Caenorhabditis elegans: one gene and its partners. The protein of the gene in region 3 interacts with the protein of the main gene of each other region in a pairwise test. Each region holds a gene or a part of one and is shown on either strand. Other genes may lie near its edges. The genes, in order: mpz-4, apr-1 and F54D5.5.

Region 1 (4,205 bases), on a different chromosome or scaffold from region 3:
AGTTCACGTCCCACTACTAATTGTACAGTAATCATATTTATTAATTTATAATGTTGTTGAAACATTCCATTAAATTTTTCGAACAAAACTTTTTTTCACTTTGTTTGAAGGCAGTAAAACTTTGAAGCAGTAATTTTTAAAATCTCAAGGGTAACATACTTATGGGCTAACTTTTCAGTTTTGTTTTTACAAAAAATTATCCATTTGCCCTTCTAATATAATATATTTCAGGACAGCCAAGGAGCTTCAAGTATTAATGCAATGCACCTTCCAATGGGTACACGTCCACAGAATGTACCCCATACATTGAATGTAAATACTGATGACTGGTAAGTTTTCACATAAAATTTTACACACTTCTAAAGCACGTTGCTTCACTTCTGATATACTTACCGTACTTCTATTGTAACTCTATTGTGTGCCATTTATTCACAGGTCTCAATCATCGGATTTCCGTCCAGCCTATGCAAAGGAACCATCACCACTGCAGGGTACAGTAATCCGTGGCGATGGACGGAGCCATAGAAACCACGTGTATTCGCGGGAAACTCAGGTATAATTGTGCTCCATCCGGTTCTGCCGCTTTTTATCCAAATCTGGCGTTTGTAAATAATTTTCATAATGAATTCTTATTTGTTTCAATTTGCTCAAATTATCTAATTTTGTGTGTACTTGTGTTTGTGTGTTACTTATTTATTATAGTTAGAACTTAATTTTTTTCTTTTTAAATATTAATTTTTATGCATTTTGAGATTACAACTATTCAACATACAGTACTCCTATGGAATACTGTAATTTATTCACTTTTGACCTACTTTTTGATCTCGTGCAGTGCAGTGTGTGCTTTCATTTGAACCCTTTGTGCTTTGACCCTTTTTCTGTTAGTTTTCAACTTTAATTCATTTTTTTTGCAATAAATTTACTTTTGATACATTTTTTCTAAATATAATATTTTATTTTTCCAACAGGTCGAAGAACAACCAGACGTAATCACTCGCCTTTAAAATTCATTTTTTGCATTTATTTTCCGATTTTCTTTCAAACATTCTTCCCCGTCTTGTAGGCACCGGTTTTAGGCTCTCAATTGGGTTTTGTTTGCTCTTTTTCTTCAATTTGCTGTAATTATATAATTGGTGATCGCTGATAATGTGATTGATATCAAAATGGGTAATTTATGATGTATTCCAATCGTGTAATTTTTGAAATATTCAATAAATAATTGTTCATATTCTTGTTGTTGATTAATATATCAGTGTCTATAAAAATTTAATTAAACAAGCAGTGGCAGAAAAAAATTTCAAAAAAAAATGCAGTTTCAAGACATTATTATTACTTTTTTTTAACAAAGGTAACACAAAGTAACAGTTTTTAAAAAATTCTATAGTTTCTCGAAATTGGTGAAAAAGTTTGGATTTCACAATTTAATTTGCTTCGTTGGTAAGTAATTTTCAAACTCACACGTTTCAACGATTTATTTATTTATTTATTTTAATACGATTCCATACGAATCGTGTCCCAAGAAAAAACATAAAACATAAATGATTGATTTTGAATCACGCGATTTTGCAGTTTTATGCCGAAAACATTCTCAATAAGTTCAGTTCTAAAAAAAAGTTAGAAAATCACGTTGAAAAAGATTTAATAATTCTGACCTTTGATATTTTATCTTCACGTTCGATCAATTGCTCTAATTTTTTATTCCCTCCCCCCCACCCCCTCTTATCATTGTTCTTCTCGATTCTAATTTATTTCACAACAATCGATAATTCAAGTATCAAACAAATTCAATTCAAAGCATTTGATAGCTTGAAAAGATGCCACAAGAAATTCCACCTGCAGTCAAATATAAAATCTATCCGGAAGGTGCAGAGGGAATAGACACGGTTTGGGAGCGGCCCGGATTCAAGAAGGGAGAGGTGAGAGGGGTTTTTTGGAATTTGGAAGTTGGATTTGGAATCGAAACAGTGAGAAATTTGAATAATAATTTTTGAACTTTATTCAAGATTTTTTTAATAATTAATTTATTTTTCTTCATTGTGAACAATATTTCTTGAACTAAGTAATTGAGGCAGTCGGGGGTGTTCGAAAGAATATTTTATTATAGAATCAAACTTTCTTTTTTTTAATGGTTTAATGGTTTTTTTAATGGTACACTAGTAGTGAAACATAATTTTATTTTAAAAGTTATTTCTATTCTAGAAACACGTATTTCAGATAGAAGCTCGAGTCAAAGATGTGGTCATTCTGCGTGGAGAACCAGTTCCAAACAGCTACAAAATGCTTGTAGAGGCCACATTTGAGCTCCCAAAGAAGGATAAAATAACGGTAAGCGACATCATCAATGACTTTATGTAAAACGTTTTTGATTTCCAGCAACTCGGACTCGTCAATCGACATGGGTTGGTCACTCGTGTTCATTACGCGAGCCCATTCAAAGGAGCAATTCTACCGGGTGACATCATCTTGCAAGTGAACGGTACGACTGTCTCATTCGATGAGAAACAATTGACAGAGCATGTCGACGAGACCACCGGTGGAGCAAGTCTCCAGTCAAATGTGAAGACTGTTAAGAGGAAGCCAACGACTACACCGTAAGGACAAATGTTATGAAAACTTGAAAAATATTTACCTTATTAAGGAAAACTGAACCTGTGAGAGCACCACATTCACTTTATCCAGACTTCAAGGTTGTTGTCGGAAAGATTTTGAACTCAAAATCTGAGACAAAGATTACGGTTCTGGTCGCTAGATTGAAGAACAGAATGTCTACGTCTAAGATTCCAAATGGTAAGTTTGAATATTTGTTTCTTATTGTGAAACAGTAATTTTCATATAATTTCAGGTATCTTAGCCACACAGGATCACACCATCGATTTGGCCATTCTCTACCAATTCAAATACCTGCAGCTTGGTCTGAACGTGCAGCAGGTCGACAGAAAAGTGGTGGTCAACTACACTATTCCGGATTCAGTTTCACATTGTAGTTTGAATATTGGTGAAGCTATTATTGCTGTTGATGATAAACCAATCAACACTCTGGCAGATAATCGTCAACGATTTCGCGAAGGATTTGAGGCGAATGGATGGATTCGATTGTTGGTTGAGTATCCGAATACGGATCCAATCAAAAATATGGTTCGGGGACAGCTTGCAGTTGGTTATTTGCCTCACATTTTTTTTCTTCTATTTTAATTGCAGAATGTTATGAGAACTGCCGAACGACCGCAATACTTGCTTTGTGGAGATGTCCGTAAATACTTTGTAGAAGGAATTGAAGCTCTGAAAAATGGAAAAGCGTTGGCTCCCATTTTAAAAGAGGAAGAAGGGCCGGGAGAAGTTGGGAAGAAGAAGAGTGATGCGAAAGTTACCAAAAAGTATGTTTTTAAATAAATTAAGATAAAATCTTCAACTAATTCAGGGACCCGGCTGTTGGATTCAACAACACAACTGAAGAATTTTTTATTCCGGCGGAATGGAACTCGAAGCTTTTCGTTTGGCTCCCGCCGCTGAAGACCAAGGTGACCGAATCGGCATCTTCGAACATGCCGGTTAAAAAATGAACTTCATTCTTCTTTAATAAAACATTTGACTGATCTCGGGCGGGCTCGAACCACCGACCTTCTGTGTGTTAGACAGCACAGGTAAAGCGCTAAAAGCGAGACATTAACCAAATGTACGTGAAGGCCCGCTAAAAAGCCAATGATGGGTCGCACCTAAAAATTTTTTTTTTAATTATTGGAAAATCTAACATCGGTGATGGAACAATTTAACATTTTTTGGAAAATACTTTAGTTAAACATTAATTTCAGCTAGATTGTTTTATTCAATCATTTCAAATTTCCGAAAAATTTTTTTGAAAATCAGCTTTTATATATTTTTATCAATTAAAAAAAAACACCCGTACAAGCTATTATACTCTGTTCGGCATTTGCTGCTATTTTTGACTATGCTTAAGAGTTTTATGAAATAAAAAAGAATGACTCCATATGATTTTACAGGACTTTTGAATTTTTGAAAAAATCAGCTTTTATATATTTTTATCAATTTTTAAAAAAATACTTCCGTACAAGCTATTATACTTTGATTGACAGATTCTGGTGTTTTTGACTATGCTGAATAGTTTTATGAAATAAAAAAGAATGACTCCATATGATTTTACAGGACTTTTGAATTTTTGAAAAAATCAGCTTTTATATATTTTTATC
Region 2 (7,801 bases), on a different chromosome or scaffold from region 3:
ACACTTTTTTTTCTATTTAAGTTTTCAAATTTGATTCAAATATATTAGTTGATCCTTTTATCAACTTTAGGTATTCTATCTGTGCTTCGATATACTACGGTCTAATTTGGAAGCCATATATGAACATTATAATTACCCATATTGTGCAGGGTATATGTTCACATAATATAAAAGGCCTGTTCAGTTCAAAAAGTATACTCCAAAATCATTGGAAAGTCATTTTATGAATGAAAACTGTCGTATCTCATCACTCAAATTTTCACACCTCGTTAGTTACAGTTCTATTCATTCCGGTAACCCTATTGTGTTGGGACATAAGATTCCTGATGGGACCACAAAAAAGTGGTGGCGTGTTTGCTACCCAACACAAATACCCTTGACTAGAGAAAGGGACTACGCAATCGTCGCGCAATCTGCCCCTTTCTCAACAGCAACAACCAAATTGGCTTGTTGAGAGGAAAAACAGTAGGTGGGATTACACACACTTTCTCTATCTGCCTAATATCTCTGTATCCTTTTCTGCTATTTTTTCGGCGCGAAATTTGAATTTGAATATCATAATTTCGTGGCAAGATCTAACTCCATTTTAAAGGTAGACGATTATTTTATCGGTGGGTCTCGCCAAGATCTCCGGAATTTTTATTGTGACCGAACCCAAATTTCATGATTTTTCAAAAATAATTTTAAGTGAATGTATAATAATGAATAGAAAAAGTCTGAATGTTCAGAACCTAGTCGGGTCGACTGAATTTTTGGAAAACATTTAGCGAACGTACATCACCCAAATTGTTAAAATAAACAGAGAAACATTCTATTCGTACCTATTCAGCCTAAATCAACCATTACATCCGTCTCCCAGTTTTTCCATTCCCACCTTCTAAATTGTATCATATATATATATATATATAAAATCTCACCTATATGTTGAGTACTCTGTCCATTGCTATCGCACATCTTCACCTCTTCATTATAGACATTAAATAGTTTCTGCTCTAACTCGCCTTCTTCAATACGACAGTTCGACGAGCTAGATGTAGAAGATGTTGAAGGACTCGAAGTAGATGTAGTAGTTGCCATTCAACGCAAATACACAAAATGAACTATTCTCTTGTCTTTTTTCTTCTTAGTTTTACCCCCGTTCAAACGCCTCCTTCCGATTCATCTTGTTGGTTGCAAACCATTTTTACCTTTCGTGCGCCGGTTTTGGAACTGCGGAACACGTAGTGTACTGTGTGGCGCCCTCCCTGTATAGTTATACACTCGACACTGCATATTTACATTGCGTTTCTTCGGTTTTCTGAAGGTCAAACCGATTGACTTCATCTCTGTTTCTTCTTTTTTTTTCAACCGAGGGGTTCGTGGCTGGCCTTCGAGTACTTTTGAACCATGGACAGCATAGTTTTCCATGTTGTTTTTACGGCCTTGAAAATTGAAGAATAGCAGCAAAAACGGTCACCTCTCGCATTGTAAACACCTGTTCTTTCGAATCAAAATGGGAATAAAACCACGAAGGAGTTTAATTAAAAGTGCTATTCAAGCTGGAACAAGAAATATTTTCGGTCCAAAAAATTGAAATCATTCAGAAAACCAACAATATAACAAGAAAAATTTAGGTTTTGAGTTTGTTTTGAAAGCTTAACAATTTTTTGTTTTCAAATATTAATTTGTTAAAAGAGTGATTTTTAACAATTATTATTTATTGGAATACATTGATGTACCTTTTCTATTTCTTATATATTCTCTTCAAATATATCAAAGATCATTCAAAATAATAAAATTAAATTTCAGATGAGCTCTAGTAGTAGTGATGAAAATGAAACAACGATACACAGAACAGGATCAAATACCGGTGGAAGTGGAATCTACTCACAACCTCGAGCAGGATCATCAAAAAGAACATCGAATGTGCGACATGATGTTAGTGATGTAGATGATGAAGAAGAGCATTATGCAAGATTTCGCGAAGATACGGTAAGGATTGTTGGAAAAAACAGATTTTCGATGTTGGTAAAAGGCCAAGTTTTGACTTTTTGAGGAATTTGAGCAATTTTTGTACCTGTACAATGGTCTTCTAAGTAAAAAAAATCGGAGCGTAAAAAATTAGAATATAAAAGTATTTTTTAAGCTTTTTAACTATTTTTTCTGAAAATACAATATTTAAAAGTTTAATTACAGGCGATCGAGGTTGACGATGCTATAACAGTTCTTCTTTCATCTCTACATTTCGAACACAAACGTGATATTGTTCCGACCGATGAAGATGATAATAAACTTCGAGAACTTCACGAAAAGATTTTTGCATTGATAACGAGTGAATCTGATGTTAACAGGTAAATCCGAAATTTTCAGAATATTTTTCAAAAAATCGTTTAATTTTAGAAAAAGACGGCTGAAAAAAGCTCTTCCTGCGTCAAACTGTGTTAGAGAACAAGTATATTATCTTCGAAGGAAACCATCAACACCACCAGCTTCTTATTATCATCGACTAAATGCAGCTCTTCACACAATCGTTAAGGAATCATTTGGAGAAGAATATCGAAAAGTTGCTACAGTATTAGGACTTGTTGAAGCGCTTGCAGAAGTTTTAATTCTTGAAGTTCACACATTTGGAATCAATGAGACCAATCCTGGAGAGCATCGAAATATTCGAAAACTTATTGCCAATGCTCTTACGAATTTAACATACGGTCAAATTCACTCTAAACGCCGGCTATGCTCATATGATGGATTCATTCGATGCGTTGTTCGAATTGTGATCGAATCTCCAAATATAACTCAAGTATACGCTGGACTAATCAGAAATCTCTCATGGAACGCCGATTCAGGAATGAGTGAAGCTCTTCAACCAACAGTTCATGCACTTTCAATTGCTGCAGTACATGCACATACACATAGATTCGATGTTACAGCAACATTATCTGCTTTGTGGAATCTTGCTGGTCACTCAGTAGAGAATAAACGAACTATTTGTGATACTCCGAATTGTTTAAAAGTATTAGCCAGCCTTCTATCTCCTGATGCAAGATTCACGTCACTTGTTGATTCAGCTACTGGAATTCTGAAGTATGTATCACAATATCTCGCGAATACTTCCACGCATTTAGAGGTTAGTTTTTGATTTGTTTTTGTTGAAAAATGCAAGTGAGGTTTCAAAGTTATCTTTTTTTTTCATAAATAGAAAGAAAAAAATCGAAAAAAATTTCATGGCGAGTCAAAATTTTGCAAAAAAAAATCCAAATCTTGCTAAATCTTTCGTCAACTTGCGCTTGTTTCCAATTTTGGACATTTCTGAATATCGACTTAAAATGTGCCTAAATAAATTAACGAGAGATAAAAGTCAGAAAAATATGCCACAAAAAGTGATTTCTTCAACAGGGATTTTAAAAGAAAATTTTGGAAAAATTTTACCCTTTTTTTCACCTTTTTGTAAATTTTTTGAGAAGTAAGTAGGTTTTTTTTTTGAGAAATTACGAAATTCGATGGTTTTGTGTCAGTTGAAGTTTTTAGGCAAAAGAACCCACAAACACTTCCCTTTTGCACATAAAATTGATCAAACTGAACAAATATCATTATTTCAATTAATCCAATAAAATTTCAGCTAAGAAGCTTGCTCATCACTCGAATGCTCACTTTGCTCAAGAGTGCCTCGTTCACTTGTGTTACAAATACTCTAGGAGCTATTGCAAACCTAATTGTCAAAGATCCCCACATGCAGCAAATGATTCGGCAGGATATGGCTGCAGTACAGCAACTCAACGTACTCCGAAACTCGAATCGTGATGATATTCGGACAGCAGTGAAGTCTGTGCTGAATACTCTTAATCAACCGTGTAGTCATCGTTATGGTGATATGTCACATTCTGTTGGAGGAGGAGCCACAGGGATGCAAATGCTTTCGGAGCCACAACTTCAGATGCAAACATCTCATCATGCTTATCATGGAACTGCGTCACCAAGATTACTATCACTGAGAGCAACTCGAGCATCACCTGGAAAATATATACAACCACAGGCTCAACAACAGTTGATACAGACTCCACAAGTTGATCAAAGATCTAGTAGTCTGCCAAGACATTTTGCCGTTCAACGAAATGGATTTGTGATGGCACAGTCCTACAATCAACAAATGGATCAACATCAGCAACAACAAATGATCTATCAATTGCAGCAACAACAACAAATTATGGTAACGATTTTCCAGCGTTTTTTTCTGTAATTTTCTCTTAGTTTCAGACGGAGGATCAAGCGCAAATGGAACATCATCAACAAATCATGTACCTTCAGCAGCAACAACAACAATTTCATCAAATTCAACAACAGCAACAAATGCAAAAAGCTCAGGAAGCTGATCCAGTTCCTCCTACGGATGACGATCTAGATATTCCCACATCTACCGTAATGGGAACACGAAGTAACAGTGAAAGAAGTCTCGGCTCGATGAATCCTGGAAGTGTTATGACAAACTGGAATTCTTCTCTGGATACTGCAGCCAACAGTTCTCGTGCTCTTTCTCCTGTATCATACAATGATATTCCAGCTTCTCCAACAATGTGTGCTCAGGTGTTCAATTTACCTAAATCCACTGAATCGGAACATCATCAATTGACGTCTCAACAGCAGAACACTACACATTATAGCAGTGGATCAGCTAACACTATGACTCGGAGTGATGGTGCAACTACTGTGCCAATGGATAACATTATTACACCAACTTATGCTATTTTGAATCCAATATTGGTACACGAACAGACACCGAACGGGACAGTTCCACGAAAGACTTCAGAAGAGTTGGATAGTCCTGATGATGTTCTCCCAGGTCCATCTCTTGAGGAGGAAGAAGGTGATTATGCTATAATAGGAGGTGCCGCACAAAAGACAGATGACGAGCTTTTGACTCGTTCTATTCAATCTGAAATGCCTACTTCGTCGTCTACTCCGAAGATGAAAGTCTCGCCTCGCCTTAATGGATTCTTCTCTCCAACTCAGAAAACAACATCGTCTCCTGCATGGTCTCATCCAGATACCTCACCGATTCCAAAGTCATCTTCTCATCGAACTCAACCTAATCGTCGTCAAGATGCTTCTGATGCAGATCGTCTTTTAATGGAATCAATAATGTCAGAGATGCCAAAAAGTCGAATTATATCTCCACGACTTGCTGGTACACAACAATATCTTGAACCCGAGCCAGAGAGAAGAAGTCATTCAAAAAACGAGGAAGCCGATCGCCGCGACGCATTCACCGCATCGCATGAGCCCAGCGATCATAACGGCATTGATGTGGCAAGAGGCTCAGACTGGTCTCCACAACAACAATTACATCGAATGGAGTCATTGGAAAGCCAAGCTAGTAGTGAAGATAGTTTTGGATTAACTGCTGAAGAACCAAATTCATCAACTTCTGGTGCTGCTGCAAACACTATGAGATTTGACGATGAGATCGATGCATCTCTTCCAATGGATTGTGTCGATGATGATGATTACGACTATACTTATGATCATTTCGAAGATTATGAAGATGAGGAGGATCCTGATGCGACTCAGTTTGATGATGGAGTTGATGCACAACTAACTATCGATTGTTCAATGATTTCTAGTGGAAGCGGTTCATCGCAAAGAAATGAAACTACGACAACGTCACGAGATTCAAAAGCTTTAGCTACTTCCACACCAAAAGGATCTGCATCTTCACTCCCAGGAGTTCGACAAGCCACCCGAGTATCAACGAATGGAAAGTCAAGACTGCCTGTTCCAAAAACGAATGGATCACTTGTTGATAAGGTATTTATTCTATTAAAAAACTCTGATTTTATAGAATTAAACAATGTCTCATGAAAATTGAAAATCGAAAAAAACGAGAGAAAATTCAAAAAATTAATCACAAAATTCAATTGTATATTGATGAAAAAAAATATTTAAAAAAAACATAACTTTTGCCTAAAAATAGTAATATGACCAATATTTGAGATTTTTTCGAAAACCCGAAATTGTTTTTCAATATATCGGGAAAAAAAAAACGAAAATGTTCGATTTTAGAAAAAAATCCAAACTTGAACCAACAAAAAATGAAAACTGGTAAAAACTCGGCATTTGGCTCTAGCTTCTTGCCCAAGTTTAGACAGCTTCTGATCCAAGTTAATTTTTTTTTGTTTTATTAACGTAAATGAGTACAGTAGAAAAACAAACTTTAAAAAATATATCAGAGATATTTAACTTTTGAAAAAAAAAACACTAAAAACCATAAATAAACCCACATTTTGTTAAAGAATATTTGTAAAATATGGAAAAATAGAAAGTGAGTTTTTTATTAATTTTTTTTTAGCAAAAAAAAATCAAAAAATGCCGAGCCCTGCTCCCAATTTTTTTAAATTAACTTTGATAAAATCAAAGACCAACTGAATTCTAAACGTTTCAAATTAGATTTTCAAACCTCGCTTTTTTGCAGAATCCCAAGCCAATCATCGCTTCCCGGCGGCCACGATTGCCACCGAAGCCGACACTTTTAAAAGATAAGCACTATCCAGAAGAGGATTCGATTGAGAATCAGACGAGAGATGATACGATATATGTGAATGCTCCAGTTGTTGAGGCAGAACAAGAACGAATTTATATGAATGCATTGAAGCAACAGAAGAACATTGAGCAATCACCGTCAATTGGAAACGGATCACCTATAGCTAAATCTGCAATTGTAACGCCCTACAATTATCAGAAACCGCCTTTCACTGTAAGAAAATAATTACTTTTTTTTAAAAAGTACAGTATCAATTCAAACATGAAGAAATATTCTTTAAAATAAACATTTTCAGGGTCGAAATAATGGTGAAATGAGCAACGAGAAGAGTGTGACACCGAATCCTAAACAAATGCTTGTAACAATAGTCTAATGATCCGCTCATATACCGAACCTTGTTCTTTGTATCCCCGTCATCTCTAGTCGTTCCCAGTTTCTAGTCGAGTGTTCTCATCTTCTTATTCTACCTCGAACTTTTATATTATTGTCTAATGGACCCTGTAATCATATTTCTAGCGCTGGCAATATACTATGTTTTCCAATTTTCTGTAAAATGTGATTTGGTTCTTGTTCTTGTTTCCATTACCTGACCGCTCAATACATAGCTGTTAATATGTTTCATTCAATTTGTAATACGAGTTCTTTCAACCTCACTCTGCTCCATTGTTTTCTCATCTTTTTTGAATCATAAATATTGTATATATTTATTAGTGTGAAGAAGTATTTGTTTTATTAGAAATCGGCAGGAATGGGAGAAAAAAAAACACGAGAGAATCAGTTATATTATGCAAACTTTCAAAGAAACCATTATCTTCAATATAGTTCTTCTCTGGATATGTTACGAAGTGAATGACGATTCTTATGAGTGAGGAAGGCAGTCAGTGCGTAGAAAATTCCCAGGATGAATGTTAGGAACTGAAAAATTAGGTTCATAGGTTTTTTGAGAGTTTTTTGTTGAGGAAAAATCCAGAAGAAAAGGAGCTAGTGGTGGATAGTTTATCTCTTTGTAACTTTTTTGATTTTCGAGTTAAGAATAAATTGTTACCCAGACGTGAATTTTGCGATTTTTGCGCCAAAAGTACGGTATCTGGTCTCGACACGACGAATTTTTTGTGAAATACAAAAGGTGTGCTATTGTAATTTCAAAATTTATATCGATTTTTATAGCTTTTCGTTAAAGACATATTCGTTTATCAAAAAAAACTATAAAAATCGATGAAGTTTGAAATACAGTACTCTTTAAAGGAGCACACCCAGTTATAACTACCCATGGCGTGATTACTGTCT
Region 3 (5,039 bases):
AATACCATCTGTGAATTGTGTCTTTTCCTGTGTGAACGACTACCTTCAATTAGTCAAATCGGACGACATACCGTATACACCTGTTGAGTAGAATAAACGGTAGCCGCTAAAGAGAGTGAGCCCTTCCGCGCGGACTAACAACAGCTGCTCATCGGAAAAATCTCTCAGCGATTTCATTTTTCATTCACATAAGTTATTGTTTTGTGAGGAAAGTTTATTTTATTGTTGTTTTTTGTTGTTTTTTTTTGCATGAAAATTGAATTCATAGAATACCCAAATTTCCTAATGAAACACTAAAATTTCCTAGATTTTTGGCAATATTTAAATAAAGTTTTGGTAAATTACCAAATTATCAAAATATTGGTATCTTTTTTGAATAGTTTCGAGTGCAACAAAGGTTAAACCAAATTAAGATATAAACCTTGTTTAAACTTCTTTGAACTGTGGTAGGCAAAAACGAAGTCTATTAAAAAGTTCAATTTTTAACAATTAATTTTTCTTGTTGAAGAGATTAATTGTGTTATTTTGTGATTTTAGAACTATAAAAGTGGTTTTAAGATCTTTAGATAACAAAAATCAATATTGCTACTTACCAATAACTAATGCTAACTTGGTACATAGATAATATCTTGCTCAACTACACACTCTAATTCTACTACGTGGTTCAGTTATACCTCCCGGCTACCGACTACTGCTCCGTTGCAATCACCACCCTTTGTTCTGGACAGTTCAAAGGATCAATGCCGAACGTTTATTTGAATTGCCTTCAGCGGCGGTTATTTTTCTGTTTGCTCGTACTTTTCTGTCAGTGTGTACTGATTTTTTTCAAAAAAAAAAAGATGCCAAAATTGGTAGTTTGACCGGTTTTTGAGTGATATACTTTGGGCAGCTTTGCAATTTTTCAAACGTTTTCTACAAAAGTTATAGTTTAGTCTCATTTCACTAACTATTTATTTTATTAATTTTCTGACAGAAAATATCTTCTAAAGTTCAAATTTCTTAAAATTTTAAACAAATTTTCAGGCTACAGTACACGCGTTCAAGGCGTGGTGGGGCCCACGAAATATTGTCTTGTCTAATTGGCCAATATTCAAAATTTAATTTAAAAACCATTTTCTTCGAATGTTTTTTCCTCAAATAAGTTCTGACGGAAAACATATTATATTTGTTCATGAATTCCAGATTCTTTAGCATCTAGTTACGTTACTGTAAAATCTCATGTGTTTGTATTCTAGAGAGGTCAACAGATTCCTCCTGCTTATTTTCAAACTCGGATTAATTTGCATTTGACATCTATCATGCTTCTCATGCTTCTCATGCCCATTATACCCTTAATGTCATATCCGTCTCCTCCCGAGGCGCGCGTTCTCCAATTCGAATTAGGCGGACCTTCTGCCATGTATAGGATGCGAAGCGGTCCGCGCGTCGCGGTTATATTTGTGGCGGCAATCATCGCGATTCAAATCGTCAACGCTGGCAGCACCAAGAAGAGGAGACACACTACGCAATTCTCCACTTCAAAGACTCGACACCGCCTCGATGCTGATCGTCGATTGCGAGGTCCGAAGGGGGCTAGGGAGAGAGCGCGCGAGACTAAGAGACGCAGACGCAAACGCTTGGAGAAGACCTCGTCTATTGGTGAAAGGAGAGGAGGAGACAGGCGGTTTGGTGACTGCTGTCTCCACACCATTTTTCTCTTCTTCCCGTCTCCTAACACACCCTCCCGATACCTTATGAGGCGTACAGTCGGGAGAGACTTGTTGAATTACGTAAGTTGAGCTCCTGATATAGTTCTGCTTGCTCTTACCGTACTAATGGAGTTCTAGTACTTGACCTCTGGTTATCCAATATCAAAATTTTACTCGTTTTTTTTTGTTTTCTTAGATTAGATTTCAATCGATAAGCTCTTTGTGCTCAGAATTTGGGAAGAAAAAGTGGAACTTTCCCAATGCATTATCTTGTCTTTTTTGACCTACTTTTCAAACCGCCAATAACTCTTTCACCAATTGATCTCCCCACATTTCCAGTCCATATTTCACTGTCCGTCAAGGTCTCCGCCACTCACTCTATAGGCCCCCATGTTCTCCCCATTGACCACCCAGTTCGGCTCGCTTTGATCTCCCACTGTGCGTTCCTCTCCTTTCCCCCTCATTTACTTAATGAACTGTTCTCTTTCTCTTTCATTTCCGTTCGTGTTTTTTTGTGTCTACGCCTTTTCATTAGAACTTTTTTAAATTCAGTTTTTTTCAGCCGCAGATACTACAAAAATGGCGGCGATCATACGAACACTATTCAAGAGCAAAAAATCGAAAAAGGGAGATGAGGAGAATAACGAGGATTTGGTTAGTTTTTCTAAACTTATTTTTTGGTTTATATTGGTGATTGATAATTAATATCTCAAAACTAGAAAGTGCATTGAAAATAGACTGTCCTTTTACGGATTGACCTACAACAAACGCGGAAATTTTCCTCCAATCAGTTGAGAAGTCGCGTCTAAATTTCCGTGATTCTTGTAGATCAAGCCAACATGGTGCACTCTGACATCACGTGAAATTTGAAATTTTCAAATTCAAATTGTTAATTTCCAGGCTCGCGAAGTCTCCAATCGCCGTTCATTCCGTGCACCGAGCACCTCATCCTCCAAATCACAAAGACGAGCTGTTGCTCGCTTCGCCGACGATGGAGCTCTTCCCGCCACTGCCGCCTATCACACAACATCAGCACCAAAACTTCGTAAAGGTCCTCAAAGCTGTCCGGGAGGTTATCGTGACGAGTCAGATGTGTCGTACGAGTCTGACAAGTATTCACAGAAGAGCAATTCACATCGGAGGCGTGACGTGCTTCATCAGTCGATGCGACAAAACTACACGATAGACGAAGGACGGAAACCGAGTAGCAGACGTCATCATAGCAGCAAAAGTGATTTCCGTCGACGTGGTGAATCTTCAGAATACGGAAGTGGTGATCCATCACCGGTTGGACAATACAGCAGTCGTCATTCACATTACGAGGACAGAATTGAAGAATCAGAAAATGATGATTTCAGTGAAAAGGCTCAGTTTGCAGTCATCGAGCGTGCTCAACAACATTACATGCAAAAGTACAAAGAGTCTGAACAAAAGCGACGGGAAGAAAAGAGAAAGTTGAAGGATATGGAGAAAGAGTGCAATGATGCCAAAAACGCCATGTTCCACTATATGAATCAGTTGGATAAAGTGAAGAAGGAGCGGGATTGCTATAGAAAAGAGCTCAGTCGGTGCAAGAAGCAGCTCGAGGCTTTCCAGAATTCCGGATATGATGTAAGTTCATATTATTATTTCAGAGAACCCTCAAATAAATATAATTTTTCAGGCATTCCACCATCTCCGTCAACCACAAATATCAAATCCTCAGCAATATCCACCTCCATTGAGCATGGGCTCCTACCCTTATATGAGCCAATCCATGAATGCTTCTCACCACATGTCATCTAACTTCATGAATAGTGCTCCACCATCAAGCAACACACCGATGACAATGACAAGTGGAGCCGGAGAGTCATTGATAAATCCGTCTGATGTCAGCTTCCTTCAAAATTCATTCCTTCAACCAACTTCTCAAGGTCTTACGGGAATGACTCCACCACCTGGAGGATTCAAGGGTGCGTCCGAAACTTTTTATTCAAACGATACTTCTTCTTCTAACATTAATTTCAATCAATAATCTAATATCTAATCATGTTCATTGCCATATAAATTCGCTTTAAATTTTCAATTATATTTGTTGCTTCACGGTGTGTGGCAAATTTTGAAATTTTGCCGAACTCGGCAAATTTGGCAATTTTGCCATGCTCGTCATACTCGGTAAATCGCAATATTTTTTGAAGCTCAAAAACTGGTTTCGCTCAATTTTTGCCCAATGCGCGTGTGGATTTCTTGAATAAAAAAAAATGAAAGAAACACAATGTTATTTTTTTTCATTAAGTTTCTGATCGAAACCATTAGTTTTCAGCAAACGGCAAATTCGGCAAATTTGCCGCACCTCTGGTGTCCCATTTCCGTATGATCTACAGTAAATACAGAACTTTTTGCCCAGAAAAAATTGGTCTCAGTACGATTTGAACAATTCAAAATCTGTTGAGAAGTCTGCGTATAAATTCTCGCAGTTCTTGTAGATAAAACCAACATGAAGCTTTAAAAGACTATATCATGATTTCAAATAATTTCAGTGCCCACAAACTACGGAGATGATGATCGAGATGAAGTGAAAGACTATCGTTCCGAACTTTTAATCGAAACTTCAAGAAGTACTAAAGAAGTCGACAGCATTTCTCCGTCAAGCTCTGCTGACAGCCAAGTGACTCTACTTGATCATTCCACAATAGATAAGGAGAATCGGAAGCCACCGTCTCGTCCATTCTCTATGATGTCGATTTAATTGCTTTATTTTCCATTTTCCAGATTGTCAGCTATTTTTTCTACTTTCTCTTTTTGTATTCAATTTTCTCAAGAGTTATGTCGGTTTTTTTTCATTTCTACCTTATAACCATCTCTTCTTTAATAAACCCGAAACAGGATCTTGTCTTTCCGCACAAATCCAAATATTATCAGTTGTGTTTGTATGTGTGTGCGGCTCTCATCACCACCACCGGTCGAAACATTTGGAGATGCTCTGGCTCCGCGCGTTCCACTCTCTGCGGCTCTTGATTCGTCTGATCTATTGCGTCGGCGCCATCAGCACTTCACGCATCTTCACCTCTCGTATTGGGAAAGAGTCCGAGAGCCATTCTCTATCCCTTCCTCTACTACTCGATTTTTCCTATTCCTGCATCACTTTATGGCACATCGATCGGCACCGTTTATCAGTAACAGTTAATTTTAATATTTTTTTGGTTCCGATTTGATAAAACTAATATTTATAATTAATAATAACATATTTTCAAAAAAAAAAAGTAGGAACGTCCATTTTCCGGGGTATTGCAAAAAATGATGCTGTAGTTTTCAAGTTTTAGCAACCGATGGGAAAAGTACTTTTCTGCTAGGAACTGTAAAATAAAGTGA

The links.
Region 1: the proteins of F54D5.5 (region 3) and mpz-4 interact in a two-hybrid assay, tested with the Caenorhabditis elegans proteins (one large-scale study listed by BioGRID).
Region 2: the proteins of F54D5.5 (region 3) and apr-1 interact in a two-hybrid assay, tested with the Caenorhabditis elegans proteins (one large-scale study listed by BioGRID).

What each region holds. Positions count from the first base shown.
Region 1 is NC_003282.8:4,824,875-4,829,079, reverse strand, and holds mpz-4 (PDZ domain-containing protein), read left to right. Parts: upstream 1-1,759; 5' UTR 1,760-1,814; coding exon 1,815-1,916; intron 1,917-2,214; coding exon 2,215-2,325; intron 2,326-2,373; coding exon 2,374-2,591; intron 2,592-2,638; coding exon 2,639-2,787; intron 2,788-2,842; coding exon 2,843-3,153; intron 3,154-3,198; coding exon 3,199-3,374; intron 3,375-3,418; coding exon 3,419-3,560; 3' UTR 3,561-3,592; downstream 3,593-4,205. Other genes in the region: tat-2 (Phospholipid-transporting ATPase), read left to right, coding at 232-329, 436-553, 969-1,004.
Region 2 is NC_003279.8:8,048,255-8,056,055, forward strand, and holds apr-1 (Adenomatous polyposis coli protein-related protein 1), read left to right. Parts: upstream 1-1,788; coding exon 1,789-1,971; intron 1,972-2,175; coding exon 2,176-2,330; intron 2,331-2,379; coding exon 2,380-3,106; intron 3,107-3,598; coding exon 3,599-4,186; intron 4,187-4,227; coding exon 4,228-5,781; intron 5,782-6,445; coding exon 6,446-6,727; intron 6,728-6,809; coding exon 6,810-6,887; 3' UTR 6,888-7,214; downstream 7,215-7,801. Other genes in the region: K04G2.7 (HTH CENPB-type domain-containing protein), read right to left, coding at 918-1,077; K04G2.9 (MARVEL domain-containing protein), read right to left, coding at 7,328-7,429. UniProt on the Caenorhabditis elegans protein: Has a role in endoderm cell specification and pharyngeal development. Required for the migration of epithelial cells, organization of the anterior seam cells and ceh-13 expression during embryo morphogenesis.
Region 3 is NC_003280.10:11,563,930-11,568,968, reverse strand, and holds F54D5.5 (uncharacterized protein), read left to right. Parts: upstream 1-1,948; coding exon 1,949-2,126; intron 2,127-2,250; coding exon 2,251-2,342; intron 2,343-2,588; coding exon 2,589-3,299; intron 3,300-3,351; coding exon 3,352-3,640; intron 3,641-4,207; coding exon 4,208-4,416; downstream 4,417-5,039. Other genes in the region: F54D5.23 (Ovule protein), read left to right, coding at 1-14; F54D5.15 (ZM domain-containing protein), read left to right, coding at 4,816-4,849.